7 linked regions of the Tribolium castaneum genome follow. The protein of the gene in region 5 purifies or fractionates together with the protein of the main gene of each other region. This does not show direct contact. Links are inferred from orthologs where the notes say so. Each region holds a gene or a part of one and is shown on either strand. Other genes may lie near its edges.

What was found.
Region 1: the proteins of SmF (region 5) and pre-mRNA-splicing factor RBM22 purify together in Homo sapiens (co-immunoprecipitation; 3 studies listed by BioGRID and IntAct, counting the BioPlex papers as one, with this or other methods). This does not show direct contact. The link is inferred for Tribolium castaneum from reciprocal best matches to the Homo sapiens genes SNRPF and RBM22.
Region 2: the proteins of SmF (region 5) and Prp4k purify together in Homo sapiens (co-immunoprecipitation; 3 studies listed by BioGRID and IntAct, with this or other methods). This does not show direct contact. The link is inferred for Tribolium castaneum from reciprocal best matches to the Homo sapiens genes SNRPF and PRP4K.
Region 3: the proteins of SmF (region 5) and Tgs1 purify together in Homo sapiens (co-immunoprecipitation; 3 studies listed by BioGRID and IntAct, counting the BioPlex papers as one, with this or other methods). This does not show direct contact. The link is inferred for Tribolium castaneum from reciprocal best matches to the Homo sapiens genes SNRPF and TGS1.
Region 4: the proteins of SmF (region 5) and pre-mRNA-processing factor 17 purify together in Homo sapiens (co-immunoprecipitation; 3 studies listed by BioGRID and IntAct, counting the BioPlex papers as one, with this or other methods). This does not show direct contact. The link is inferred for Tribolium castaneum from reciprocal best matches to the Homo sapiens genes SNRPF and CDC40.
Region 6: the proteins of SmF (region 5) and probable ATP-dependent RNA helicase DDX20 purify together in Homo sapiens (affinity purification with mass spectrometry; 5 studies listed by BioGRID and IntAct, counting the BioPlex papers as one, with this or other methods). This does not show direct contact. The link is inferred for Tribolium castaneum from reciprocal best matches to the Homo sapiens genes SNRPF and DDX20.
Region 7: the proteins of SmF (region 5) and icln purify together in Homo sapiens (affinity purification with mass spectrometry; 3 studies listed by BioGRID and IntAct, counting the BioPlex papers as one, with this or other methods). This does not show direct contact. The link is inferred for Tribolium castaneum from reciprocal best matches to the Homo sapiens genes SNRPF and CLNS1A.

What each region holds. Positions count from the first base shown.
Region 1 is NC_087399.1:5,881,815-5,886,094, reverse strand, and holds pre-mRNA-splicing factor RBM22, read left to right. Parts: upstream 1-1,510; 5' UTR 1,511-1,646; coding exon 1,647-1,700; intron 1,701-1,749; coding exon 1,750-1,803; intron 1,804-1,859; coding exon 1,860-2,123; intron 2,124-2,380; coding exon 2,381-3,271; 3' UTR 3,272-3,326; downstream 3,327-4,280. Other genes in the region: flr (actin-interacting protein 1), read right to left, coding at 1-254, 493-821, 877-967, 1,020-1,141, 1,250-1,265; thioredoxin domain-containing protein 11, read left to right, coding at 3,606-3,835, 3,879-4,280. UniProt on the Homo sapiens protein: Required for pre-mRNA splicing as component of the activated spliceosome. Involved in the first step of pre-mRNA splicing.
Region 2 is NC_087394.1:6,855,794-6,860,824, reverse strand, and holds the start of Prp4k (serine/threonine-protein kinase PRP4 homolog), read left to right. Parts: upstream 1-1,651; 5' UTR 1,652-1,823; coding exon 1,824-1,834; intron 1,835-1,895; coding exon 1,896-3,036; intron 3,037-5,031. UniProt on the Homo sapiens protein: Serine/threonine kinase involved in spliceosomal assembly as well as mitosis and signaling regulation. Connects chromatin mediated regulation of transcription and pre-mRNA splicing.
Region 3 is NC_087394.1:22,602,059-22,606,846, reverse strand, and holds the start of Tgs1 (trimethylguanosine synthase), read left to right. Parts: upstream 1-1,415; 5' UTR 1,416-1,542; coding exon 1,543-1,640; intron 1,641-3,408; coding exon 3,409-3,547; intron 3,548-4,788. Other genes in the region: chromobox protein homolog 1, read left to right, coding at 534-808, 856-880. UniProt on the Homo sapiens protein: Catalyzes the 2 serial methylation steps for the conversion of the 7-monomethylguanosine (m(7)G) caps of snRNAs and snoRNAs to a 2,2,7-trimethylguanosine (m(2,2,7)G) cap structure.
Region 4 is NC_087400.1:5,273,227-5,278,066, reverse strand, and holds pre-mRNA-processing factor 17, read left to right. Parts: upstream 1-1,583; 5' UTR 1,584-1,732; coding exon 1,733-1,861; intron 1,862-1,911; coding exon 1,912-2,458; intron 2,459-2,509; coding exon 2,510-2,724; intron 2,725-2,876; coding exon 2,877-2,985; intron 2,986-3,034; coding exon 3,035-3,189; intron 3,190-3,240; coding exon 3,241-3,596; intron 3,597-3,647; coding exon 3,648-3,825; 3' UTR 3,826-3,875; downstream 3,876-4,840. Other genes in the region: RpL7A (large ribosomal subunit protein eL8), read right to left, coding at 84-98; PpV (serine/threonine-protein phosphatase 6 catalytic subunit), read right to left, coding at 286-476, 524-1,079, 1,128-1,295. UniProt on the Homo sapiens protein: Required for pre-mRNA splicing as component of the activated spliceosome. Plays an important role in embryonic brain development; this function does not require proline isomerization.
Region 5 is NC_087398.1:3,705,851-3,708,916, forward strand, and holds SmF (small nuclear ribonucleoprotein F), read right to left. Parts: upstream 1,533-3,066; 5' UTR 1,417-1,532; coding exon 1,242-1,416; intron 1,190-1,241; coding exon 1,098-1,189; 3' UTR 1,001-1,097; downstream 1-1,000. Other genes in the region: calmodulin-like protein 4, read right to left, coding at 1,824-2,239, 2,288-2,318, 2,369-2,371; mitochondrial coenzyme A transporter SLC25A42, read left to right, coding at 2,824-2,972, 3,016-3,066. UniProt on the Homo sapiens protein: Plays a role in pre-mRNA splicing as a core component of the spliceosomal U1, U2, U4 and U5 small nuclear ribonucleoproteins (snRNPs), the building blocks of the spliceosome.
Region 6 is NC_087394.1:23,203,858-23,207,783, reverse strand, and holds the end of probable ATP-dependent RNA helicase DDX20, read left to right. Parts: intron 1-1,497; coding exon 1,498-3,203; 3' UTR 3,204-3,266; downstream 3,267-3,926.
Region 7 is NC_087394.1:28,288,776-28,291,983, reverse strand, and holds icln (methylosome subunit pICln), read left to right. Parts: upstream 1-1,311; 5' UTR 1,312-1,327; coding exon 1,328-1,446; intron 1,447-1,498; coding exon 1,499-1,641; intron 1,642-1,690; coding exon 1,691-2,034; 3' UTR 2,035-2,104; downstream 2,105-3,208. Other genes in the region: uncharacterized protein LOC103312536, read left to right, coding at 28-144; transcription initiation protein SPT3 homolog, read right to left, coding at 196-1,089; Upf2 (regulator of nonsense transcripts 2), read right to left, coding at 2,281-2,846, 2,894-3,067, 3,114-3,208. UniProt on the Homo sapiens protein: Involved in both the assembly of spliceosomal snRNPs and the methylation of Sm proteins.

The sequences.
Region 1 (4,280 bases), on a different chromosome or scaffold from region 5:
AATTCAGAGACGACTTGTCTCGTTTCCACGTCCCACAATTTCGCAGTTTTGTCCCCACTGGCTGTTAGCAATTGTTTACCGTCGGGACTCCAACTAACCCCATACACGCCCCCGCTGTGGGCGGGGCTTCCCACTTCCCCCACCAAATCGGAGGACGTACCATCGTACAGAAACACCTTACCATCGAACCCAGCCGAGGCAAATAAATTACCGGTGGGTGAATAACGAACGGCTTGCACAAACCTGCTGTGCTCCTGTAAAAAACAATCACGTGACGTTGACCAAAATCATAGCCACCTATGGTTACTTTATGAACAGGTATTTCCCCCCAAATTAGTTTTCGTCAAGGACATTTCGATTATCACGCAATAAAAAAAAAGGTAAATTGGGTCAAAAAAATGTGAAATTGCGTTAAAAGTGGTGTTGGTTTGTCAGTTCAAAGCTAGTGTATTTAATTTTGTGGGTTGGCGACACGAGTCGTGGCCTCCTTACCTGCTTGGTCATTTTGAACTTAAACGGGGGCCCCTCGAAAACCGCAATGGTGTTGTCTTCAGACCCCGTGATGATTCTGAAAGGTCTCGTGGGTTTGAAATCGCAGGAATTGATGGGTTTTGATTGGCCTGAGATTTCGCCAACGGAAGTTCCCGTTTCGGACATGAAAACATGACCGAAGCGTTCGCGGCCTTCGCCAACCACGACCATTCGTTGGTTATCAGGGGACCAAGCGATATCTTTGATGGGCCCCCCGATTGGGTGAAACTCATTTTTAAGGATGTGCTCCTTGTTGACTGTGTCCCAGATTCTGACTTTGCCCGATTGGTCTAGAAATAAAACCAGTTTGTTTTAATTTTCGGGGGCTCCAGTGTGTTGATTTACCTCCAGAGGCGATGTAGAAGCCGCTAGGGGAGTACTTGGCGACGTTTACCGGACAGGAATGTTCCGTGTAGACGTCGGCAATTGCAGGGTTCTGTAACAAACCAATTGGAGTGGGTTTCTAAGGGAGGAAAGGTTTTTTTTACTTGGATGTTGCGAATGATCACGGAATTGCCATTGGTGTAGAGAAAGTTCTTGCCTTTGGGATCCCCGCCCAACACCAGGGGCTGTCCTCGTTGGGTCCGCGGCAAAGTCGCGTAAATACTCTCTGGAAAAGATAAGATAAATTCCATTTCAAAATTAAACCAACCGGAATTACACGGGGTGGCTTGATTATCGCAACCTGTCAAATGAAACAAAAAACGGTCACACTTACTTGATGCAAATGACATTTTCCTGTTTTTTTTATGTGAAAAATGATCCGGTTTGCCGGAAATGGTAAGAATCCTCAAGTGGAACACGGAGATATTGTAGTAGAAAAGTTTACACTACGTGTTGGCAGTTTACGAGAAATTCTCTTGGCACACGCACTGGTTATGAACACTTGGCAAATAATTTTATTTCACAAATTTCGCAAAACCTATTTATCTAGCGGTTATGTTTGCCATAAAAGGATATAAATGGATCACCTCTCGCCCCAAAACGCCTGCGCCACGTCCCCTCCCATACACAGGTTGGCAGCACTGAGTCACGTCAAGTAACTATCAATAAAGCTTGTTTTTAGTTTTCGTATAATTTGAGCAAAACCCGAGCATAAATGGTGTGAAACTGCAATGGCAACGTCAAAAACAACAAACACATACAATCGGCAAAACTGGGAGGATGCGGTAAGTCCTAAACTGGAACTAGTGTAAATCTGATTTAACCTCACTTTAGGACTTCCCGATTTTGTGTCAAACCTGTCTGGGGGACAACCCTTATATTCGCATGGTTTGTATCTCCTGGGCCACAACTCTCCCTGATTTATTCAATAAATGTGATTTCAGACTAAAGAAAAATATGGCAAGGAGTGTAAAATCTGTGCGCGCCCTTTCACAGTGTTTCGGTGGTGTCCTGGGGCTCGTATGCGTTTCAAAAAGACAGAAGTTTGCCAGACTTGTAGCAAGTTGAAGAACGTGTGTCAGACGTGTCTCCTGGACTTGGAGTACGGCCTCCCTATACAGGTCCGGGACGCTGCCCTCAAACTCAAGGATGATCTCCCCAAGAGCGACGTTAATAAGGAATATTATATCCAGAATATGGAGCGCGAGGTTTGTTTTATTATATTTTGCGTCCACGAAGGCAGTTGAGTGCTTTAAAGAGCTTAGTGTTTTTTTATGTGGTAATGTTGCCTCCATGACTCACATCAGCCTTGCCAAATCAAAAAAAAACAAATTCACCACATCCACACCCAGATTTACCCTCTAGATTTGATTTAAATATTTCCGGTTCAGGCTTTTTTAAGCAAATAACATTGACTTTGTAAAAAGCCATTCAATTATCTGAATTTCGACCTCTTATTTTGCAGTTGCAACGGTCGGATACTGGCGTTTTGTCGAATAAGTTGAACGAACCGAATGACTTGCTAATGCGTTTGGCGCGAACAGCCCCCTACTACAAACGAAACAGGCCCCACGTATGTTCATTTTGGGTGAAAGGGGAGTGCAGAAGAGGCGAGGAGTGTCCTTACAGACACGAGAAGCCAACAGATCCTGAAGACCCCCTTGCTGATCAAAACATAAAAGACCGCTACTACGGCGTGAACGACCCTGTTGCTGATAAATTATTGAAAAGAGCGGCAGCCATGCCTGCATTACCGCCCCCTGAAGACAAAACCATCACAACTCTATACATCGGCAATCTTGGTACTCTCACCGAACAAGACATCAGGGACCACTTCTACCAATACGGGGAGATCCGCTCTGTTAGTTTAGTCCCTAAACAGCAATGCGCCTTCGTCCAGTACACGACCAGAGCAGCCGCTGAAACGGCCGCCGAAAAAACCTTCAATAAGTTGATTTTGGGCGGCCGCCGACTTACCATCAAATGGGGGCGGTCTCAAGGACGCGCGGGCCCCGCGATTAACCCGGGACTTGAGGCCTATGAACCTGTGCCAGGCCTTCCGGGGGCTCTGCCTGAATTGAGTAATAATTTCTTTAATCTCGAACCGGGACACATTCCATTGCCGAATATGCCGCCACCGCCGTCTCTCATCGTTCCGCCGATGTTCGGCCCCCCGCCCATGCCCCCATTTTTCTTTAATCCGCCCCAGTTGTCGGCGTATGTCCCCACAGCGGCTTCGAGCAGCACTGTGACGAGTGAGGCGACAGGGGGGCCCTCCAAAAGCACAGTGCATTATCCCAGCCAGGATCCGGCCAGGCTGGGAGCCACGCAGTTGCATGCAGATAGGCAGGAGTAGGTCTTAGGTCTTATGAGGTGTACAATTTTTTATCAATAAAAAATTATGACCAGTGTTTTGTGTTTTTTCTTATTCCCCGTTACTCATTGGAAGGAAAAATTTGTGAGGATAATTAATAATAATAATTGTTTGGTTAAGTTGGGGGGTGACAGCTGTCATTGCACATTCGCAGTTGGTGGACTTCGTGCGACAGCGTGACAGCTGACGTGTGCTGACACGATGTCAAATTTCGTAAAATTTCGATTTTTCACCTAACCAAAGAGCAAAATTCTCCGAATCCGCGGCAAGTTTACGTGAAATCGAGCAAGGTTCAATGGTATGAGGTCAACTGGGTATGTCATCTCCGGTACAAGAGTCGGACTGTAACACCTCGCCAGCACCTGACCCAGGGACCACTCACAATAATGACCCCGACGTTGTCGCGACAGATTCAGATAGCGACACCGATAATCCCGAAGCGAGCGTGGCAGACCGTCCCACGTTAACCCTCAAAATGTTGAACTTGTGCAAAGAATTCCTGATCATGATTATCATCGCGGTGGCCTACGCTGCCCTAACTAACGAGTAAGTGGCCCCACGGCCCAGGCACGTCTAACGCGGCTTTCAGGACCCCTCCGAAAGTGAGCAAAAGTCCAGCTGCGTACCCGTTTTTCCCTCCAAATTCCAAAGTGACGGACTGGTACCGGGGGCAGATCACTGAGGCGATTGAAGATGCGCGCTCGAGCGATATTGCGTTTGTCATGTTTTACGCCCCGTGGGATGCCGAGAGCCAGACGGCGCGCAAGCAGCTGGAAATCGCAGCGCAGTATATGCAGAAAGAGGTGGCTTTTGTGGCGGTTAACTGCTGGCAGCCAGGCAGCGAGTGCAAAAGGCAGTACAGCAAAGTGTACAAGTGGCCCGTTTTGATCGCCTATCCCACACACGGGAGAGGGATACAATACAACGGGCCGCTGGAGGCTTTCCACATAATTAAATTTTTGCAAAATGTGTGCAAGCCCATTTTGCGGCC
Region 2 (5,031 bases), on a different chromosome or scaffold from region 5:
CTTTTTTAAATTCCACAGTGAAGAAAATGTATTCTAAGACCCCTTAAATTCGGAACTGTTTATGATTCATTCTGGATCTGGAATCTATTCACTAAACTGAACTGCAACAGTTCCTAAAACTTAAAACAGAATCCCCGCCTTATCGTATGCCAGTCTTTAAGTTTTTCAAATTGTCCGTTATTTCTGTGTTATTTTGCGGACGATTCTGAGCCCAATCTAATTCTCCGTTAGGGAGTAACTTTTCAGCACTCGAGTGTTGTTAGAGCGACTAAATTAGGCCAAAAGTTGTGCCCATTTGTGATTATAGTTGCATGACGTTTTTTTTAATAATTTTGGATTTTTTTTTACAAAAAGTCAGTAATATTTATGGTTCGATGAAAGTAAACATGATTGTTAATTGCACTAGCGGCTAGCCCCTGCCGGTCTACAAATGTTCGCTCAGTCGAAATGTTGCGAGCGAGGTCGGAACAGTACGAACGGAGACCATAACGGACTTCTCATTTCAGCTGGGCATATTGGAATAGTGGTTTTTATGGAAATATGTTGCGCGTGGCTGGGGCTTCGCCCCAGTTAACTAAAAGGAAACAAACCCCACGACCAATTAAACTCGAAAACGTGGAACTCGAAACGTGGAATAGTGTTTTTTTATGGAGCTAGGGTGGCGTACAGTTCATAAACATAAACACTATTCCACGTTTCGAGTTCCACGTTTTCGAGTTTAATTGGTCGTGGGGTTTGTTTGCTTTTAGTTAATTGGGGCGAAGCCCCAGCCACGCGCAACATATTTCCATAAAAACCACTATTCCAATATGCCCAGCTGAAATGAGAAGTCCGTTATGGTCTCCGTTCGTACTGTTCCGACCTCGCTCGCAACATTTCGACTGAGCGAACATTTGTAGACCGGCAGGGGCTAGCCGCTAGTGTTAATTGCTTTCATCGCGAACAGACGCCTCATAAATAAAATCAGTATTTTGCGGTTTAAAAGTTATATTAAATATGCAATGTATTTTCAACTAATTTAGTAGCACATTGTTCTTATTTCACTATTATTATTTCAGTGAGTCCGTTAAAGACGGTAACAGAAGAAGAGGCCTCAAAGCCAGGTGTATGCATTTTCCTTTTTTTTACGTTATTCTTGCTGGACAAATTAGTTATTAATTTGACTAATAATTAGAGCTATCCTTAAAATTTGTAATGTGTATTGCTGGTTGCATTTTATAGGCGTAAAATTATGTTTCAACATTTTGTAACGTAATATTTGTAATATGAATCTATACTATTGTGTTACGCTTAGGTTTGACCATTTCTCTTATTTATTCTCTGTTTCCAAGCTTATGGAAATGCCAACGTCCCCTTTCTGTGGTATTTATAAATTACTCATGCACTTTAATGCGACTTTAGCATTTCCGTAGTTTTGAAACAGAGAATATCGCATTTTCATTTTTTAGAGAAAAATATAGGACAAATTGGGATTTTCTGTAAAAGCACAGCTATAAGAAAAAAAATCTATGTTAAATTGAAACATAGAGTACCTCAAGTACAAACTACCACGTGTATAATCTTTTTTATTGAAATTTGCAGTTTTGTGCAACTTGTGTCGAGTAAATCAACAGTTTTTGTGAAATTTTCTTTACAATGTTTCCATTTTCCCGCCGAAAGCGCCAACGCTCCCTCTGTAAACAATAGCCGGCATTAACTGCGACTCCATCACCGTTGGCCTGGCGATTCGATATTCCGATGTTATTCCTAGGTTATTTTTGAAATAAAATTACCACTAATCAGCCACTAATTTGCCATTTCGATCACATTTCCCCGCCACCGGAATGGACACCGAGTAAGTACCACGTCCCCACCGCCCCCAATCCGCCAATCTCTCATCTAACCTTAATTCGCAGACCCAAAGGTGAAGTCCAGCCGCCCGCCACCAAGCCCACCTCCGCCAGCCCCCCTAAGAAAAAACACAAGAAAGACCACAAACACAAACACAAAAAGCACGTCACCGAAAAACTAGATAAAACTAAAAAGACCAAGAAACGCAAAAAGCACAAACACAACAAACAAAGGGACATGTCGGAAGACAGGCTTTCGACAAAAAGTGACAAACTAGATCGGTATACCCCCGAATTATCGCCTAAGTCAGCAACTGCAGTATGTAAGAAAAATGTTAATCATATTATTAATGGTAAATCTTTGTCAGGGACCCCAAAAAACAAGGACCCGCTTAAAACTGACACTGATGAGGTTGTTGCTTTTGTGGCGCGCGGTCTCACCGACACGCACTCGCTGGAGGTGATCTCCTCCGAGAGCGAGGACGGCGTGCCGGAGACAGAGTGCGATAGCGACGCGATCGACGTCAACGTCATCGAGGCCGACATGGACCTGGAGGAGCTCATGAAGCAGAAGGAGCTGCTCCAGGCCGAGATCGCCAAAGCGGAGCTCGAAACGACCAAAAAGAACGGAAAAGACCCGAAAATTGTTGACGAAATCATCCTCTTGGACGATTCGAGCAACGACGGGGACGTGGTGGTGCCTGTGAAGAAGCCCAAAAGGTCCCACAGCAGAGAGCGCAGAGTCGTCATTGAGCGCAAAGAGCATCCAAGAGAGGATGTGCGAAGGCATAGAGACGACAAACACAAAGTGTACGAGAGATACGGGCGAGATAATTATCACAGGACCAACCACAGGAAAAGTCCCGAGCGGAGGGAGAGGTCCAGGTCGCATATTTATGACAGGGATAAGCGACATGTGAGAGATCACAGGTCGAGGGAGAGACATAGATCGCGGGATCGGCGATATGATCATAAGGATTATTATCATCGGGATTATCACAGGAATGATACGAGGAAGGCGAAGGAGAGGCATAGAGGGAATAGGGGTGAGAAGCAGGATAAGTACAAGGACTCCCTGAGTGAGGGACAGAAGCATGGGGTTAGCAGTGATAGCGATATTGATGTTAATATCGATCTGGTGGACGATGAAGAAGATGAGCAGAAGATTATTGAGAAGAGGAGGAAGCAAAGGGAAGAGTTGTTGAAGGTAAGTTTTGAAAAAATGTCATAATTGTACAATCTGAACTTGTTTGTTATGTTTGAAAAAATCAATAAATAAAGGAAAATTTAAAAATAATAAAATATAATAAAAAAATGCTTGAATATGTATTTTTTTAACTGTACTATTCTGAGTTTCTTTTTGTTAAAAGTATTTTTTGTTGTAAAAGAATTGGAGATTTGATCAGTTTAAAAGGGAAAACACTTGAAAAGATTCAAAAAATATTAGTTCGAAGAATTTTCTAACTGTACATGAAAAATATATGTTCAATATCATGAGACTAATTTTTGAATGTTTATTTTTCGAAGATTTTGTTATGTAACATCTAATATTTTAGTATCGTTATTTCGACTATTATAATTATAACTATTAGTATATTAAGGGAGGAAAAACATGGATTCTCTCCCGAAATTGAGAAAATGCGACTTTTTTTCAGTGTTATACATTTTATTACATAGCTGAGTTTGTACACCATAAAACTTTACAGCAAATAATCGTGCTAATGTGGGGGTCTAAAGATATTTACGATATTGGTCGGTCCATCTGAAAGATTTTACATGCTGAATGATTTGCTTGAAGGATTTTCAGTTTGGGGTAATCAAAATAAAATTTTATGGTGTTCAAACTAAACTTTTCAACAATACTTATGATTTTTTCGGCGTTTTTACCAAGAATACCGTTTTTCACCAAGGAGAATGCAAGAGAAAAATACTTTTCTTTCTCGGTAGGAAATGACGTGCTTTCGTGGGGTATTTGGAGGGTGGAAAATGATTTTAATCGAAATGGCAAAAAATAGTTGGAGCATTTTTTGTGTCTTTCTGATTGATAAACTAATACAATCTCATGGAAAAAATGTATTCTAATTGGAATATTACTGTTCAAAACATAATTATTTGGCCCTTCAGCTTCATTAATTATCATGATCTGCCTTTTAATCCAAATTAAAAAACTGATAAAGCCTACTCTAATTATAAATTCAAATGATCACGCAGTATTACAATTTTGAAAATGCTTTTTAAATTATTTCGATATACATTGACTTACTTACTCCTTATAACAAAAAAGATAACATAATCAATAAAGTATAAACACTCTCGGGTATCTAACGTTAAACATAGGATCGTTTATCCAGAATAAAGGCAAAATGGGATTACAAACAACAGTATCGGGCAACATACGTATGAATTAGTGTCAAAAAACACATCATGAACATTCTTACGAGACGATAACAGTGATAATTGATAAACCTAAAGAATTATTTCTGTTATAAAAAATGTTGAATTTGAAGCAAATTATATGAAGTTGTGGTTATTGTCATCCGAAAAATTGTTTGTTTTGTGTTTACTTGCCCTTTTTTATTACAAGGAAGTGTAGACAAATTCTGAAAAAAATTACATGCAAAGAAAGAGAAAAATTTTATTTCTGTGATTATTAATTTTGTAGAAATACAGTAAAATATACTTTTAAATGTTGAAAATAACTTAATTAGTTCAAAAAGAGTGGTCTTTTTCAGTGTTTAATCACGTGTTTGAGTCTTTAGGTAACTTTTTGACTCAGCTTTCTGGAAGATTTTGCTAAATCGGGCAATAAAAGAATCTCTAAATAATTTGGATGGTGAAATTTTCGCAATTATTTTTTGTTTTTTTGGGCCATTTATTACCTTTTTTAATCTAAAAACAAAAACTGTTAGTTAGGTCAAAAACTGTGTAATTTTTACATTTTTTTGCGCATTTAAGCAAGTGCTTGAACTGAAAATTCAAGTTCTGCCACAGTTTTAAACATTTTGCTATTAGATACGTATTTACTTGGAGGAATTTCAGCAAAAATAAACATATTGGGTGGAAAGTGTTATTATTTTTTAATTTCCTGTTCATTTTCTGTGGATATTTATGAAATTTTAATAGTTTTGGTAGTTTTTATGGTTGTCCTTCCATGAACGTAAAATACGCCAAACTGTAACCAAAACACGTGTTATTTTTGCTT
Region 3 (4,788 bases), on a different chromosome or scaffold from region 5:
CTATTTATAAAATATAGTTAATAGAGCTCTCAAAGTTTACCAAAATAAATGTGTTACAGCACGGGATGCTACAGTGCAACTGTACGGTCTTTCCGCCGAAAAATACTTCAGACAGTTGTTTACACACAAGCAAAGTCTCAACTTGATATCTCGAAAACCACGGGCATTGTGATTTTTTAATAATGTGCCAGTAGACGCACTAAATTGTAGAAAAAAAAAATAACTTCTGAACGCTTTAAGTAAATTGAAAAACTAAATGGATATGTAAAGCCTAAAAATGTGCAAATTTAAATATGTATAAATATACAGGAAGTGTAATTTAAAAAAACGATGTTATAGATTGCGCTGTAAAAATGAAACACCCTGTATAGGGCAACATAATTTTAGAATTTTAGAACACTTTGGCCCCCCATGTACTATGCCCTTTTCAATTTCGATACCATTGAGGGTGTAGGTGTAACTAGTATGCCCATATTAATGACTCACTCTGTATAAATAGTTATTTTGGATCACGTCATAAAAATTTCGAGCAGGTTGATCGCATTTTGGACGTCTACTTTAAAAGAAACGGCCAACGTGAATTCCTAGTGTCATGGAAGGGTTACCCCAACTCACAAAACAGTTGGGAACCTGAAGAGAACATGGATTGTAAAGATTTAATTAAAAAATTCATGAGTAAAGTGGAAAAGGCTAAAGAAGCCGAACACAGAGAGCTACGTGTCAATAGGGCGCACACAGATCGATTGACTCTCCTTTCAGACGGCCATTTGGGACGTCGTTTGAGCAAAAGAAATCTAGGAAAACAAAGGTAATTTCCATAATGATATTGCTCACTTTCTAATTTTTTTTTCACAGGGTTCACTACCACGAAGCTGAATAAAAAACCATGTAGTACAATATCATTCGGAAATGTTCATGTGTTTAAGAGAAATTTTCTTTTCTATCGATAACTGTACTTTTCATTTGTTGAAACAAGGTTTTTTTATAATTATAAGCATATACTTACATAATATATTTAGGGTAGTTCTAATAAAAATGTGCAAACACAAAAAAGTTGTGCTCATGAAATTTATGTTTATTAATTACAGATGCAGAATCTTTGTTTATTTTATAGGTCAGATATTTAAGTATTTCGTGTTTATGTAAAATAAATTTTTCACAAAGATAAGTTGTCTTATTTTACGGACAATAAATCAAGAGGGGAGTGGCTGCTATGGTGGCGCTATAAATCAAATTTAAGCGGTCGCACCAACCTGACTGAAGAAAAACCCTAAAATTCCACAACTGTGCTTGAATTTGGCTCGTTTTGGACAAGTAGAAAGCAATGTTGATACATTGGGGGCAATTATTTGAATATTTCCACTTTTCGGAATGATTTGTTTTGTTTTTTAAACGCGATTAACATCAAATTAATTTAGAATCCCCCTGCTGTCAAAACCCCGGCCATGTTGGCGACGCAGCTTCCGATGGGTGCACATCGTGTAAAACATGTAAAATTCGCGAAATTCCTTCCTCAAAAAATGCTATTTTGAGGCATTTACTATGTGCGAGTTGCCGTGGTACGCATTGGCCGAAATCTACTTGCAGAACCGCGACAAATCCAAAGAAATCTACTGTTTATGTAGCAGGGTTTTTGTAAGGTAGGTTATCGTTCTGTCATCTGTCATTTATTAGTTCGCCATTCAGATTTAAATGCGGCAAAACGGTTTTCTAACCAATTTTTCAACAAAACGATGTTATAATGACCAACAACGAGCCGAAAGCTCCAAATATCCACGATTTTTGCATTATTAAGCCGATAAGTCGCGGCGCTTTCGGTAAAGTGTTTTTGGGGTGCAAAAAGACAAACATGGACGTGATGTACGCGATTAAAGTGATGAAAAAGACCGAAATGGTAAATAAAAATATGGTGTCTCAAGTGGTGAACGAACGCAACGCCCTAGCCCTCACCAAGAGCCCCTTCTGCGTGCAATTGTTCTACACCCTTCAGACGGCATCTTCGATTTACCTCGTCATGGACTACATGGTCGGGGGCGACCTCAAGAGTCTCCTAAGCGTGTACGGGTTTTTTGACGAGCCCATGGCAACTTTCTACGTTGCTGAGGTTTGCCTCGCACTTCAATATCTCCACAGCCATAGCATAATCCACCGAGACATTAAACCCGACAATATGCTCCTCTCGAAAGAGGGCCACGTTAAATTAACCGACTTTGGCCTCTCATGCGTGCAAATCCACCGAGATTTAGAAATTTCCGATTTCGAAAATGCCACTCCTAATCTCTGTACACGCACCCCTGGCCAACTTCTAAGCCTCACTTCTCATCTCAGTTTCGGTTCGGGGAACTCCCGGAACTGCGACGACTCTGGGGCCAATTTAGAGCGACGTTTCGACCACAACAGCTCGGCATTATCAGGAGTTACGTTTTTATCAGCCGATGGGGCTTCACTCCAAGTCACCGAAAACAGTTCCTACCACACGTGCGCAAGCACAAACCCCGAAGACTCCACCACATCTCCCGTGAGTAGACGCGGGTGCTACAAGCTGCGAGGGGGCGACCGGAAGCGGAAACAACGCTCACCGAGTCCGGAAAACCCCCGAAAATCGTACATAAGAACAGGTTTAACTGGCGAAATGGAGATTTTGAGGGTTGACTCGACAAATTCCCCCAAGGGGGTCACTTTTTCAACGCCGGTTTCGAACCCAAAACCCAACAAAGTGATAATCAAAACGACGAGATTTGAAATTCCCAAAGACTCGGATTGCAAAACTGATGAAAATATTGTTAGTCCTATAACACCGAAAACTCCACGAACTCCGTATAGGACTCCCAAGTCGGTTAAGAGAGGGCAGTGGAGCAGCGATCAACGCATTTTGGGAACTCCCGATTATTTAGCCCCCGAGTTATTATTACAAAAGGGGCACAACTGTGCCGTGGATTGGTGGGCTTTGGGAGTTTGTTTCTACGAGTTTGTGACAGGGATTCCCCCGTTTAACGACGAAACGCCTCAACAAGTATTTAAAAATATCCTCGACCACAACATCGAATGGCCCACTGATGATGAAGCCCTAAGCAAAGAAGTGGTCGACGCTATTGAAACTTTACTAACTCCGGATCCCGAAAAGCGACCACAAGCCACCGAAGTTATGAAATTGGAAGTTTTCAAAAACACGGATTGGAAAAATTTACTGCAAGCTCAACCGCCGTTTGTACCTGATCCTTATGACCTGACTGATACCGGATATTTTCAAGCCAGGAACGAGTTACTTAATTTTAACATATCAAATTTTGATTTGTGAAGTTTTATATTGGATATTAATAATAATAAATGTTTTGTTTTTGAAATGCCTGTTTTTATTTATGTGAATTTCCAGACTTAAGGTTTTCACATTATTGTAAATCTTTGCAGAAACAAAGATGACAATCTCAAACGGACCGTTTTCTCATCCGAATTCAGCGCTTCCGAAGAGGAGCTTTTAATCGAACAGGAGATCCCGAGTGAGTGCATTTCACTGCCTCAGATATTAAAATATAAAGTCAAACAAGAGGTAAGTGATAAATAAAAATAATCTAATACCACAATAGATCCAACTTATTTTGGCGTAAATATCACGAAGTAATTACTTTTCTGTAATGTACATAATGTAATTTTTTATCTTGGTTGGCGATTTTTTGTCTTTTGTCGAATTTTTACATTTTGGTTCAAATTCAGTCTAATTAATTAAAATAATTACCATTTTCGATTAAATTTTGTGGTTTCTTTGTTTCTTTCTGACGAAATTGGTCAAAAATATTTCGAAGTTGATGATTTTTCAGGCAACTTGTAGCGAAATTTAAAAAAAAACGTATTTAAAAGCTCACAAAAAATTAACATTCAACGAGTCAACATTGTTGTTATAATTTCGACTTGTTCTTAGCGTAGTTTAGTAATTTCGGTCAGGATTGGTAAAATCTCACAAAAACACATTTGCTGATCTTCAGCAAATTTTTACGTATGTTCTGACAGAAAAAATGTGCGAAATGTTCAAGAACTGTAAAACTGTTAATGTAATAATATAATTTTAGGTGATTTTGCAAAAAAGATCTCGCAAATAACACTGAGATTTTTGTTTAAAACGTGATTAAAAACTACAAAAACCCCATATTTATGATGAAATATTGCTCCAAAACAAATCAAATTGCGTGAAACTGACTAAAAGATCAAATTTCGATGTAATTTGATAATTTTGCAGCCAGTTTAAGCAAGAATTTTTGAAAAACTTAGTTATTATATCAAAAACGTATCTAAGGGCCCTAAAAGGTCAGATAAAGCATTTTTAAACATATTTTATAAGGTAAATTTTCGGCTGGTTCATAACGATATTTTGCGAAAAAATTAAAAATAAAGTCACTTTACACCTAAATTGTAGATTTTCGTTGAAATTCTGTGGTGTATTTTTTTGGTTTAATTTGGACAAGCTGCTATGTATGTTCAATCAAAGACAAAAACAAGTGAAAATCAGAAATTAACATATAAATATCGATCGTAGTTTGATGTCTTTTCAGACAGTTTCAGAACAGAATTTTTTGAAAAACAAACCCAGTTTTACTCGAAACAGGCAAATTTACCATCATTTTCGACATAAGCAGTTGTATATATTTTGTTTATTGGCAACGAAATTTCCAGTTTTCAGCTGAAAAACTCGAAAAAACAAAAACAATTTAGCGATTTTTCGTCCAGTTTATAGTGAAAAAAAATTTGATTTAAAAAAATTGATTTGGCTAAAGAATAATTATTTCATTCAGGAAA
Region 4 (4,840 bases), on a different chromosome or scaffold from region 5:
TTGTAGGTTATGTCAATCCCAGCCCGAATTTTGCCAAATAATATGGAAAATAAGGGCCCCATCAATGAAAACACGCGACTTACTTTCTTTTGGACCATTTTTCGAGTGAAATTTAACAAAGATGACTGTAGATAATTCGAATATCTACAGAAATACGCAAATGTGGCCTATCTCTTGACAGACGACACTTGGAAAAAGATGGATGATTAGGTTAGCAGTGCGCAGGTGCGACGATGAGAAAGGCGCCAAATTTGAAAATTGTTTATTGATACTAGCGTCATAAAATTACAAAAAATACGGAGTAACACTTCTACTTGGAATAACTCGTTCATTGTCGGGTACGGCGTTGAATAATTTCGGTTCGACTTTATCCGTGGTCTGGAATTCCAAAATACTTGCAATGTTGCCACAACGGTAGCAATAATTGGGGGCCGACCAAACCGTTATCAGCTTATCATCAAACATGTATTTATAACCTGAAAGACACATTAAATTATCGCAAAAACGAAACACCAAAAACAACCTTCGTGGACTAACTGATGAGCTCTGCAAATTAATGTGAGCGCGTTAATTTGCATGAATTCATGAGTGACCTTCGCCCCGAACAAGTACCCAGCCCCCCTGGGACTCGACGCCCAGGTGTCCACATCCTCAGGGTCCGACCAAACTAAATCACAGAAGGCACCTTTATGCGGAATTTCCTGATTTCTCTCCAAAGTCCGAATCTGGTCAACCGTTTTAATATCCGGACTTAAGCCCCCATGTACACAAAGCACTTTCTCGTCAATTAACGCAGCGACAGTAAGCAGATCAAACACAGAACAGCAGTATTTCCAAGCGTTAGCATTGCCATATTTAGTCAGACACTCGTCGTAAAAACCGTAAACTTGCGTAATCTGTCGACTCTCATGGTTCCCCCTTAACAAAGTAATTTTGTTCGGATAAGCCGCCTTCAAAGTGAGCAATCGAGTAAAAGTCTCAAGACTGTAATACCCCCTGTCGACAAAATCGCCTAAAAATATGTAATTGGTGTCAGGGACTTGGCCCCCTTGCCGGAACAGCTCCTCCAGGTCATAAAACTAAAACACGCGACTGTAAACTGAGCCAAGGGGACGCACAAAACCCACCTGGCCGTGGATGTCCCCACAGACCGTCACAGGAGTGGAGACGGGCTGCACGTTCGACTCCTCCAAAAGAATATCACATACGATACTGCACAATTTCTTCAAGTCGTTTTCGGTCAAATACTTGCAGTCTTTCACGATTTCAATCCATTGATCCAGCTCTGAAGACATGTTGGTCTAGCGACTTTTCCAACACCAATTGAACGTCAAAGCCCGGCAATAATCAACGTCTTGCGGCAAATAATGCCATAAAACATAGCAAAAAGGCCGAAATTTGGTAAATTGGAGTGAAGATAACCAAAAAGATGTGACAGTTTGCAAGTGACAAATGACAATTTGAAAACCACAGACGTACAAACGGACGAACCCACCGAATGAATTAATTAAATTTCGACGAAAATTGAAAAATTAACTAAACTGAAATTAAATTCCCGGTGTTCGGGCAATTTTCATGTCTTTATAATTTTAAAATAATTGGAAAAATAATTATCTATAGGCGCCAGCCTCGCTCTATGGTTTGCTTTTGACAGTTGACAGTTGTTAGTGTTTTAGGTTAAAAGTTGATTCAAATTACACATTTTGAGACTTGAGTATTGCATTTGTGCAAAATGCTGGCGTTGCAAGGTTACGGAGACAGTGACGAAGAGGAGGTTAAGCCTGAGGAGCCCCCAGCGGACCCCGAATTTTCAATCAAGAACAAACTCCAAGTGTGTGCGGCTCCTGTCGTGTTACCCACGGTGCGTGATCTACCTTATTAGCGTATTTTTACTAAATGTATGCCTTCTAGGGGTCTGAAGAGTGCATCCAGCACGTTGACCCCAGCGCCCAGGAAGTGACTTTTAACCCCAAATACGAGGAGTTGTTCTCGCCCATGGTGGGCCCTGAGAACCCCTTCAAGACCCAGCAGCAACAATGCACCCGAAACATACTTTCGGGTTACGTTGAGCCAGCGTATGTGAACGAGTTCCAATTCGAAAACCAAAGACGGACGTTTAACAGTTTTGGTTACGCTCTGGACCCCACTGTGGGCAGTGCCGCTGAAGGCACCAAAGTTGTTACAACGACTGGCCAATGCGATGATATTGACCCGGAAGCAAAAACAGTGTTTGAATCAACCAAGCTGAGACCTTTAGATAAGAGAAAACGTAAAAAGAATAACGACCCGAGCGATATTGAGGGGTTTTTGGGGCCCTGGGGTGGTTTTGTGGACGAACAAAGGGTCATGAAGCCGTCTGATGAGGAGGCAGCAGAGTTGGACGAATTATTGTCGAAAAAGAACAAGAAGGGGAAACCCACAGAAGACAAACCAATCGAGGAAAAATCAATTTTGCACAGTAAGAGTGACTATTGGGTGAATTTTGCGAAAATTGCTGGTTTTGTTACAGTTTCAGACGCTGTGGATTATCAGGGAAGGAGTTTTCTACATGCACCTCAAGATGTTGGTGTCAATTTGAAATCGGACAGCCCCCCGGAGAAGTGTTTCCTTCCGAAAGCACATATTCATACGTGGTCGGGGCACTCGAAAGGAATTGCGGCCATTCGGTGGTTCCCCCGAACGGCTCATTTGTTACTGTCTGCTAGCATGGACTGCAGAATTAAGGTCTGTCTAGTGGCCTATGATTCTTAATTTGAATAAGATGGCAGCACCGAATAGTTTAATTTCAGTCACAGCCAACTTAATGTTGGTTTATGAAAAGTCACTATTAGCTTTTTCAAAACTATTAAAAAAAATAATCGTATTTTTTGTTGTAGTTGTGGGAAGTGTATAACGAAAGGAGATTAGTTCGCACCTACTACGGCCATAAGCAAGCCGTTAGGGACATTTGTTTCAATAATTCAGGAAAACTGTTTCTTTCGGCCGGTATGTTTATTTATTTTTTTGGTATATTAACAAAAAAAATGTGATTTAGGTTACGACAGGTATATTAAATTGTGGGATACTGAGACTGGTCAAGTGGTCAAGCGATTTTCAAGCCGCAAAATCCCCTATTGTATCAAATTCAACCCTGATAAGAACAAACAACACCTCTTCGTTGCTGGAACTTCTGATAAGAAAATCATTTGTGTATGTGTGCTTTTTTTTCAGTTTTTGTTTTTTTTTAATTATTTATTATAGTGGGACACCAGATCTGGCGATATTGTCCAAGAGTACGACCGCCATCTGGGAGCAGTTAACTCTATTACATTCGTTGACGACAATCGCCGATTCGTTACGACTTCGGACGATAAAAGTTTGAGGGTCTGGGAGTGGGACATCCCCGTTGATATGAAATACATCGCAGACCCGACCATGCACAGCATGCCTGCTGTGACGCCAGCACCCAATGGAAAATGGTTGGCTTGTCAAAGCATGGACAACAAAATTGTCATTTTCTCGGCATTAAATCGCTTCAAAATAAATCGAAAAAAGACGTTTACGGGACATATGGTGGCTGGGTATGCCTGCACACTTGATTTTTCACCAGATTTGAGGTTTGTTATTATTTTTTTAACAGTTGTAGGTTTTAACAATTTTTTTTGTAGTTATTTAGTGTCGGGTGACGCCGATGGTAAGTGCTACATCTGGGATTGGAAAACTACAAAGTTGTATAAGAAGTGGAAAGCGCACGATAATGTCTGTATCAGTGTGCTGTGGCATCCGCACGAGCCGAGCAAGTTAGTGACAGCAGGCTGGGATGGACTTATCAAATACTGGGATTAAGTTTCCAAGAAGGTGTAAATTTTAAGCGAAATAAAATATTTTAATTAGAAGATACGTCCTTTCGCTATGGTCACGTGATCGTTATAACCAATCAACGTAAGCGATTTCGGTCACCTGACTTATGTCTACGGTGAAACGTCACTCATTTTGCGTTTTTAAATGCCTACGTCTAATTTTGACAGCGAGATTTTAATTCCGCCGTTAAAGCATTTAAAAGATTAGAAAAAAATTAGATAAAAAATGATGTTTTTGCAATTGGAAAAAAATAAAGAATGATTATTAGTATTTTATTTAATAGTAATTAAATTTTCTAACATCAGCATTTGCTTTTTTTTCAAAAAATCTTTGTTCTCTAAATCGTCCTTTTAATTATTAATTTTTTTAATTAATTAATTTTTTCTCAAACTGTATTTTTTCGTCTTTGCAACAATCACACATTAAATTCACTTTCAAAAGACAATAAGTTGCTACTTTCGTTCGTTCCTATGTTGATTTCTAAATTTTCTAGATAATTTAAATGGAGAATTAAATACTTTAATGGGACTTTAATTTTTAAATATATATTTAAAATGATGAAACGGGGTGTTCAGTATTATAACTAATTAAGTCCGTTAGACGAGTTTTGAGTTACACAGGTCCGGACTTTGCTGGTATTTTGCAAATTTGTTTTATGGTGGAGTGGCATAGTTTTTTGGTAATGACTAAAAGACAACGTAGATTGTGAAATAACGTAATTAGAGTATGATTTTACAGCATACGTTTCTATTTTCTATATTTTTCTCAAAATTGACACAACTTTTGGTCATTTACTTCAGATTTTTTGCTGTTGAATGACTGTTAGATGCTGATTTCAAGAGAATCAACGATTTTTTCTATCATTAGTTCTCTGGTCCTCCCTAGTTTGTGAATGAATCCAAGTATAAACAACTCTCGCTTTAGTAAACCACTTTTTCCAATCCGTGCCAAAATTTGAATATCATCCAAAGGCCATAAATCTCCCCCACCCGCCCCTCAA
Region 5 (3,066 bases):
TCGCAAACTGCGATAAAAATACTACTGAACATTTTTAGCTCACTGTGATATTAAGAGTCTCAGGGACTTGTAGAAGAGAGGAATTATATAACATGACTATTATAATAATAGGAGTAATATACAACGGCCTCTGAGTTCTGTGACTAATGCAACTGATTCAGTTCTAATTGTGCGCAAACGAGTCGTATTACTATTAACAACTGTAGCAATTGTACTTTTCACTTTTAGTATGAATAAATAATTAATAAATTTTGAATTTTTATATTACTTTTACTTACCGTTCAGTGAACTTTTCTGACTCCTGTGAGTTCGCAGTAAAGCGATGGCAGTCCATTTATCGAACTCGCTGTATACAAAAAGTATGGATAAACTGTTAAATTTATTTGAAATTGAAATTATTTAAGCCAGCGTTGTAATTTTACTGAAAATATTGACCAATAATTTTAGTTTTATATATTTTTTAGGTATTGTGTTGCTATCCACAGTTTTTTTGGCTGATAAAAGGGTTTTTGAATTTTTTCGCTTCGGCCCAAAAAATATTTTTAGTATTTGACTCTTCATTTGATGACACTTAATTTTTTTTTAATTTTTCTTGTGACCAATGTGTGCCAAAGTTATCAAATTAAATTAAATTGATGCTTTTTAAAATATAAAGTATGTTTTGGCTCCCTCTCGGGTAAATGCAAAAGCAGGTGTATGAGAGGTAACTGTAAGTGCAGGGGAACTTTCTTCAGTTGTGCTGCTATCTGTTCGTTTTGCCGTTAACTACAAGGATTTAATTTACATTTTTGGTACTTAATTATCATTTCCTTATTCCATTATAATTATTTATAGAACACTGTATGTATCCCCCACTTTATAGCGTCCTTTAATGTTAAACAAATAAATATATTTTTGTATTTTTTTTCAAAAGCAAGTTCTCTTGTTTATAATCCGTAACAGTTTGTGTATTTTTTTTGTGGTAGACAATCGTAACGTTACATGTAGAAAAAAAAACAAGTACTTTAACACGATTTATTTGGTAAAAAATTAAATCTACAATACTTATTTACGTAAGTATCCGATCGTACATTTAAACTTGAATTTACATTAAATAATTAATCCTTCGTCTCTCCCTCCTCGTCCTCTTCTTCAGCCCCTCTTATGAACAAGACATTGTTACATCTAATTAAAACTTCCCCTAAGTTACCTGTAAAAAAATGTTACACAAGGGGGTCCGCCTCCAAAGCATAGTTACATACCAGTCATATTCCCATCAATAAATTCCTCTGTGTTTGCTAATTGTAAATTCATGTAACCATCAACTGAGACAAGGTAACCTTTATATTCGTGCCCCCACTTCAATTTTACCATCACAGCCTTGCCTGTTAGGCCGTTGAGGAAAGGTTTGGGGTTTATGGGCATTGCGGTCGACATGGTTGTTGTTTTTGTGTGCAAAAAATCGCAAATAAACTAAAAACGTTGACACAACGCTAACCAGCAAAAGTGAGGTTGGAATCGAGCGACAATTGTGTCAATTGTCAAAATTTCCATCCACCATCGACGTATAAAAAGTTGATGGGTGTCTGATTTTTTAGGGCGCATATTGTTTTTTTGTGATTCTTGGACTAAAATTACCGTAATTAAAAAAAACAAGGATTGTGGTCAATTAATGATTTATTGGCGTTAGAATAAATAACTGTGCGGGGGTTGATTGCCGGCTCTCTATTTTACCAAACCGAAAAATCATTGCCAACCCCCCAGTGCGAAAATCCGAAAATAAAAATTTGTGACATGTGTTTTACATAATTTCGTGGAAAAGACTGTGTTAGGGTAAGCCCCCTCTAGTAATAATCCGGCACTGGTGCACAGGCAATCTTAACAAAATCCTCGTACCGCACCATACTGTTGTTATTAACATTTGCCTCTCTGAAAATCCGATCAATTTCCTTGGCCGAAAGACACTCGCCCCAGTTTTGCAACATGTGACGCAGCTGCTTGGCCGGAATCACCCCTTTCCCCTCCGGGTCCCCAGCCTTGAAGGCGTCCACCACCTCCTTGGGCACGTTCTCCACCCGTGAGTGAATATGCATAACCTCCAAGAAGTCAGCAAAGCTCATTTTGCCGTTCTTTTGCTTGAAATAACCCGCAAGCTCTGAGATGGTGGGCGACAGCCCCAGACTCCTCATTATCACTGTGAGTTCGTCCAGGGACTTGATGTGCCCCGAGCGCGCAAACAAGTAGAAACACTCGCGAAATTCTACAAGATTTACGAGTTAGTTTGGGGGGCTATCACGGGGGTACCTACCGTCAATGTCTTGCTCCTTGAAGTAGCGGGCCTGAAACAAGCTTGATTAGGTTTGGGGTGGGTTTAGCGGGTTATTTTTACCATTTTTCTTGTAAATATTTACACGTCAATTGTATTATTATTATCAAGGTGAAACAGGTGAAAGTACAGTTAGCGTCACGAAATTTGGCACAGACTCGTCATTAATGAATTATTTATTTTTATCTCTGATAAAATGATGATTTTATCGCCCAATTGTGCCAGGTAATTGTTTGGGGCCCCGATTAGTGGGAGCCCTTAATCAGGGTTGTAAACCCCCCGAACGAATCGATTTATCGCCTCATTTCTAACGTAATTTATTAATAAATAAAGTTATATAACAAAACAGCTCGTCATTTGCGATAGTCTTATCACTCCACGCTTAGATGTTGTTAAATCCCCGTCCAATTAAAAAAAGGTAACACACTTTGAACTTTGCCTCCTTTCCTCCGACTCTCCTCTAATTCTTCATTCCCGTTCCAGTTGACCCAATAATGCCTTGATTAGTCTTCCAAAAAATGGCTCGTAAAAGCCATGACCCTGTTTCGAGTCAGCTGAGCAACACTCAGATCGTCCTCACTAGTCTGTGTGCGGGCGCCATAGCGGGGGCCCTCGCCAAGACCACGATAGCCCCCTTGGACCGCACAAAAATCAACTTCCAGATCAGGTAAGCCCCCACGTTTGGTACCCCTCTAACTGGCTTCCTGCAGCAACAAACCCTATTCAACTCGCAAGGCGTTCAAGTTTCTGCGACAAACGTA
Region 6 (3,926 bases), on a different chromosome or scaffold from region 5:
GATGTCCAAATAGGATCTTCGAAACTATAAGAGGTTTAGACTAAAACGAGTGACACATTCTCAGGTCCAATTTTTGAGAAATAATTTTGGTCAAAACCGCTTTCCGCGGTTGTTTTCGACTTATAAATAAAAGTTGCCATTTTAGCAAAATCCTAAAAACCCCATATCTTTTTTATTATAAAAGATACACATTTAAGACACACATTATGCAGAGAATATAACAATGTTATCAGCGTTTTTTTTAATTATTTGTTTAACTGTAACAACATAAAATTGAATTTTTTAAATAGGAATCATAGTTGGCTATGACATTTTCGAAAAAATTTTTTTTTCTGAACTGAAAACAATATAAATACAGTTTGATATTTCTATATACTTTTAATAAAAAACATATTGAAAGCAGTTGGCCATGGAAAAATTATTTCACATATAAGCTGTGAATAATCTAGAAATTTTGTGAACGGTTATTAAAGTAAAAAATTTGAAATTATCAAAATAAGTTATGTTAAAGTTATTTTCAATAGAACAAATATACGATCGTCGCAGATTTTAATTACATAAAAAATGTTCAGAAAACTGAAAACGATGTGTCACTACTATTTAATAACACTTTCTTATGATTTAGTGAAGTGCAATGGCGATGACGTTGATAATGTTATGTATTTTTTACTACAAAAGAGTAAAATATTTTGTAAAATAAATATTGACAGGCAATACGATTAATAAGATTTTTCTTTTTTCCACATTTCATGTTTAATTAAGAAATAGAATGACAATTTTAGCTTGCCATTTTAAATCTAAAAACAAATAATTTTTCTTAATCGCAAAAATTTGTTCTAATAATAATTTATTATGCTGTTTTTGAATTAATTAGTGTTTAAAAAATCATTAAATTATAAATACTTGTTGGGTAATATATTTTTTCATAGTTTTTATTGAAAATCGAAATTTTTTTCATGGCCTACCATAAAGAAAAAGCGAAATGTTATGTTTTCCTTAATATTTAAAAATAATGTATTACATAAATAGATATATCAAATCAGAACAAAATAAGCTTTTAAAAAATACTGCAGCCGCCTATGATTCTTATTTAAAAAAAAATAAAACTTTTTGTTATTACAGTTGAACGAAATATAAAAAAAATCGCTGACAACATTATTAAATTCTCTCTCTGTAAAACGTGACTTTGTTATAATAATATGTGAAGTCTTTGTTTTAAATAAGTATCTTTTATAATAAGGAAGATATGAATGTTTTAATATTCCACTAAAATGACAACTTTTTCGAAAGTCGAAAATAAAAGACTATAACAGGATGCGATTTTGGGTAAAATAATTCTCTCAAAAAACGGAGCCGCGAATGTGACTCGTTTTTCTTTAAATCTTTTACTTTCGGAGTTCTCCTAGTCGGACATCCAAAATGCAGCACCCTGTATATATCACGGCTGTCTTGATACACGTTATTCATTGAATAATTTGATTAATTGGCACGTTTTAGGCCTCAAAATCGAGAGTTTCATCGGTGGGAGGCCCCTCGAAGACGACTTGAAGAAATCGTCCAAGTGTCACATCGCAGTGGGGGCCCCCGGCCGAGTCAAACACTTGCTAAAAATGGGGGCCCTCACTACAAACCTCGTCAAACTATTCGTCCTCGACGAAGCCGATAAATTAATGGAGGAGAGTTTCCAGTCTGATATTAACGAAATTTACAACAGTCTGCCCCCTCGCAAACAAATGATAGTATCGAGCGCCACCTACCCACAAGAACTTGACACTTTCCTAGCCAATTACATGCAATCCCCGACTCACGTGACGTCCGAAAACGAGACCCCACTCCTACTCGGCCTTAAACAATTCGCAGCCATGCTAAGGCCCGGCCTTAACTCAGTCCAACAAATGAAAATAAAAAACGATCTTTTGATAACAATCCTAACGAAAGTTTCGTTCGTCCAATGTTTGGTTTTTACGAATTACCAATCACGGACCGAGACAGTTTCGAATTATTTGAACCAGAAGGGCTGGGATTCGGTTTTTATTTCAGCGGCGCAGAAACAAACCGAGCGGTTGGAGGCGATTGACAATTTGAAAAAATTTAAAAATCGCATTTTACTTTCAACTGATTTGACTTCACGGGGTATTGACGCCCCCAATGTCGATCTTGTGATAAATTACGACTTGCCTTGCGACGCTGTTACGTACTTGCACCGCATGGGGCGCGCTGGTCGCTACGGTTCGGGGGGACTTTGCATTAATTTCGTGTCAGAGGGGCCCGAAGTGACCAAATTGCAGCACATTCTGGGGGCCATCGGGGGGAATTTATCCATTGCCAAGCTGCCCCCATTGGAGGGGGTGGATTTGTGGCAAGTCGATTTGAAAACACTGGAACAAATAAGGGGGGTCGTGCCGTCTGACACTTCAAATGACGTTAGCGAAAATTTGAAAAGTGAGGTTATGGAGCTAAAGGAGCGCAAGGATGGGAAGAAACGTAAAAGGGTTAACCCGGAAGCTAGTCCCGATTTGCAAAAGGAGAAACGCAAAAATGATTTCTCACAGGACACTTTTTGTAAAAATCGGGGGCTTCTTAACTTGACTAAGGTTTTACTAGATCCGGGGATTAACATAGATGGGGACATTACCGACTCGGTCGATAATTACCTTAAAATTTTGAAAGTCGATGACTTGGAGGAGGAAGTCCCGGTTGTTACTCCCCAAGTGGAGGATTTTATGGAGGGAATTTTCACGGCGGCGTATGACTGTGCTATTGATAGTGGGGGGAGGAGGACTTGGACGGAATATTTGCCTTTGGAGGAGCTCGAAAAATTCCAAAACCGTGGTAAAGAACTTGATGTTGAGATAACAAATGATCTGGAGGAGGAGGAGGAGGAAGAGGTGGAAGAAGAGGAGGAAAAATGCGAAGAAGAGGAAGATTTCGAAATGGAGGAAGCAGTGCATAGGAATGACGTATCTCTCGAATGGGCTCCAGTGGTTCAGGAAGGTTCTGGCAAACGTTTTGATCAATTTTTCGAGGACTGTAGTAACGTTTTGTGGCAAAATGGTTTGACTTTTGAAACGGTTGAAAGTTTCGACGATTGGTTCTACCACTGGCAGGAGTCTCTCCAATCTGTCCGAAACTACGTCCAGCAGAACATTTACATCGAAGAAATGAGTAAATATCAAGAAAGCAGGAGACGAAGTAATAAATAACGGATGTTTCCCTGTCCCGCCTTGAGCAGTTCCTGTCATAATAAATAATACAAAACCTGTTAAGTGTGTGCGTCTTATTTTCGTGATAGCGGTTCAGTGACTCTATAACAAGAGCAATGCAAACAATAATTTTATTTTTCTGAGAACAACGAGATAATAATTCATTCGGGGTCGGCAATAAGTTGCGCAAAATAAAACCGGAAATGCGGTAAATGCATAATTAGCGAGTGCATTAACCATCTGGTAAAAGTGCATAAAACAATGAAATGCAAATGATGCGGCGGATTTTATCGGAGGTTAGATGCAATGTCGGCGTTTGATGGCCTAAATCTGAGCGTTTTTGTCGTGTCCGTTGCATGTTTCGAGGATTATCTGGATCTTAGCACGCCAGAACGAGCGCCCCAAGGTGAATAAGACGACGGCCTCGGATCGTGACACGGTGGAGAGAAACGGGAATTAGGGCTTGGGAACATTGGTAATAATTCGGAAATTATGTCACAACTATTTTATTTCATTTGTACACAAAAATAATAGTATATTATGATACGAACGAGTTTTGTAAGACGCATTTTGTCGCACGCACGAATTTAGGAGTAAGTGCGACAAAATGCTTTATAAATGTGGTAACATACAGTATTTTTAGCAAAAAAGTTCAAGTTCGAAATTTAAGGGATTTTGTGACAGTTGACTGCACTTGCGCGGGTCATGAAATTAAATTAATAA
Region 7 (3,208 bases), on a different chromosome or scaffold from region 5:
GACTGACCCCAATACCTTTGTTTTCAGAGTTTGGCGAGAGAAATTATAACATCGGTTGCTTCAATATCATCTTGCATAATCTCTATTTTTTTCGTAAAAAATTTGTCGAGAATGGATTCGCTGCACATAAATTTTGCAGCGTAATATTTGGATAAATAAAAGACCGTTTAAAAAATTAAACTTTATTAGAACAAATTACAGAGCAAATAGATAATGCGTGTCTGGTAGTTTTCCCCCGAAATTCAGCTTCCCTGCTTGCGGACAGTGAATTCTTCTCATAACTTCTTTAATTTCATTGACACTAATGGGGGGCTGTCCACTGTAAACCCTGCTATAGTCTGGATTGTTACCACTAGCCCCTATCCTATAATCCCCATTAAACATCGTAGAAGTGTAGTAATTGCCGTATAAATGATTCAGTGGATCACTCCCACATTTGCCCTCCATCCTCACAAGCAACGCATAATCGGTTATCTCAGCAACTGTCTGGTACCCCAAATACGACAAAACCACCATAGCATTAGTGCTGAAATTAATTTCCTTTTTCGGGTCAATCCACTGTCTTAATTTTTCGGAGTTTCGGGCCGTGATATCTCTACTGCAAAACGAGGTGGCTCTCGCTTTGCAAAACTCCAAATACCTCTTCTCGTCCAGGGCTTGAGATATGCGATCAGCCCTCAGCATCCTCGACTGTTTGACTTCATCAACTTCGGATAAATCGGTGAATTCTCCCGTCTCGTCTATGTACTCGATAAACTTCATTAGCTCGTTCTTCGGTATGGGATCTCTGTCAATTTCAATGACCCCCGAGTTCAACGACTGGAGTTGCTGTTTGAGTTGCTTGTTTTTCAAATATTGGAAAAAGCGGCGCATTTTGTGCTTATTGTGCCGCATTAGGAACACCAACTCCTTGCCTTTGAGGTTCTTACCATCGGAGTACTTCAGCGCTTCCTGGACGATCATGCGGAGCTGCTTCAACACGATGCTCTCCACCAAACGCACCGTCTCGGGGTTCGGCTTGTGGCTGTCGCCGAACCCAAACATCATCAGCGAGATTTCGTTACAAAAGGTTGTTTTTTGGGAATCCATCAGTTTTTGTCAACAAACACCTAACCTCAATTGACAACAAATATTTTCCCCACAGAATAACAGGTTTTTTTCCCCAATCAAACACAGCCGGTTCAAAATACCAGCCCGTGATTGGTCCTTAGCTCACAACGCCGCCAAAAGAAAATAAAAATCCCCAAGTTAAACGTCAAGCGCCATAGTTTGTGGTTACAATAATTTTGAAAAATAAACACGTTTTGCGAAAAAAAGTGGAGGAAGAATGGTTGTGGTCACGTCGTTTAAACCACCAGAATCTCCTATAAGACTCGAGCAGTCAAACGTTGTGGTGATTTTGGATAAACGTGATCTGGGCACCGGAACCCTATTTGTGAGCGAAAGGTAACACAATTATGGCAAAACCAAACGAAAAATACATTGTGTTAAATTACAGGACACTCAGTTGGCAAAAAGACGGGACTACGGGTTTTTCAATTGAATATTACAACGTCTCGCTCCATGCGGTGTCCAAAGACCCCAACGTGTGCGAGAGGGAGTGTATTTATATTTTGACTGACCCCCACATAAATTTGTTTGGTTTGTAATTTTTTGCGCAAAATTTGGTTTATTGTGCGTCGTTTTGTAGGAGAAACTGACCAAAGGCCCGCAAATGATGACAGTGACGTTGAGTCAGAGCCAGACCTCTCGGAGCTGATTTTAGCCCCCGAAAACCCCACACATGTACAAAGTATTTACGAGGCTATAAAAATTTGCCAAGAACTCAATCCCGATCCTGCCGATGTTGACGACGAGGACGATGATAATTTATTCGCGGACGCAGAAGAAGAAATGTTTATAGAAGCAGAGTCTGAGCAGATTGGGGACGCAGTTGTCGACAGTTTGGCCGAAAGGCTACAAAACAACTCAGTCGACGTCCAGTACAGCTACCGGAATGGCAACGAGGATGAGGATTTTGAAGATGCAGACTGATCCCTGAATTATGTTAGGTTTTGTATCTTTAATTTTAATCCATTTTTTATAAAACACTGACTAGTGAAAAGGTTTTATTCCAACAGAAAACAATGTTGAACGAAACAAAAAATGAAATTCCTTGCTTCTCCTTCACAATTCTCAATTCCGATAGACTAAAAACGAAACAATCTATCTATTTCTGAAACATTCTGAACTTCTTTGACCCTTAATCGTATTCAACCATTTCATCCTGAATTCCTCCCATTATCTAACTCTCTTAGGTCCAAAAATCAGGTCGGCGTCGGGCGCCCCCTTGGGGTGCTGGTATTTCTTGCGTTCGCGGTTCAAGTTTTGGGTCACGGGCCTGTTCTGCTGCTGCATCATGTCTTGATAATCCTCCTCTTCAAACCGTTCCGTGATGTTCAGCGTCAAGCGCTTCACTCGTTCCTTCTCCTCCTTCTGAGCCAACTCCTGGTCCCTCAGATTCTGAGCGAGTTCGGAGTTGATATCAGCCTCGAAATTTTTATATTGCTGCTTGTTTCCTTTGCGGACCATTAGCACGAACCCGATTTTGTTGGGTTCCGTTTCAGGGGCGTCCTGCAACTGCTCGTAGGTCTTTTTGTTCGATTTGAGGACAACCGGAACGGAAATGTCCACGTTTCCGGCCTTCACCGGCTCGCGCATCCGCTCTTGGATGTTCTCCGAAACCATTTTATCCAAAGCGTTTAAAAAGTCCTCGTCCTCGGGGCACTCGACCTTGCGGGGGCCACTGGGAATTGCCAGCGATTCGGACACTTGTTCTTGCTCAGCTTCGCTAACATCGGGTTCCCCTAAAAAATAATTAAAAAAATTGGAAGATTTTAAAAGTGAGACGGACCTTCATCGTCCGAGCCTTGTGTGTGGTCCACCGTTTCGTCCTCAGTGGCGGTATCATCAGTAATAGGTGCCGTGACTTCGGACACTTCGTCCTGTTCTTCAGTGTCGGTTTCAGCGATCGTTTCCAGGCCGTCTTCCTCAACTTTATTTTCGTTCAAATCTCCAGTGATTTTATCTAATTGACTTAGTTTTATTTCGGGATTTTTTAAAACAAAGCTTACCAAAGCCCAAAGTGACGCGAATATTATTTAACTCGGTTTGTGTTTCTTCGTAGCTTTGACACAATTTAATTTTTGGTCTCAGGGTCGTGAGAGTG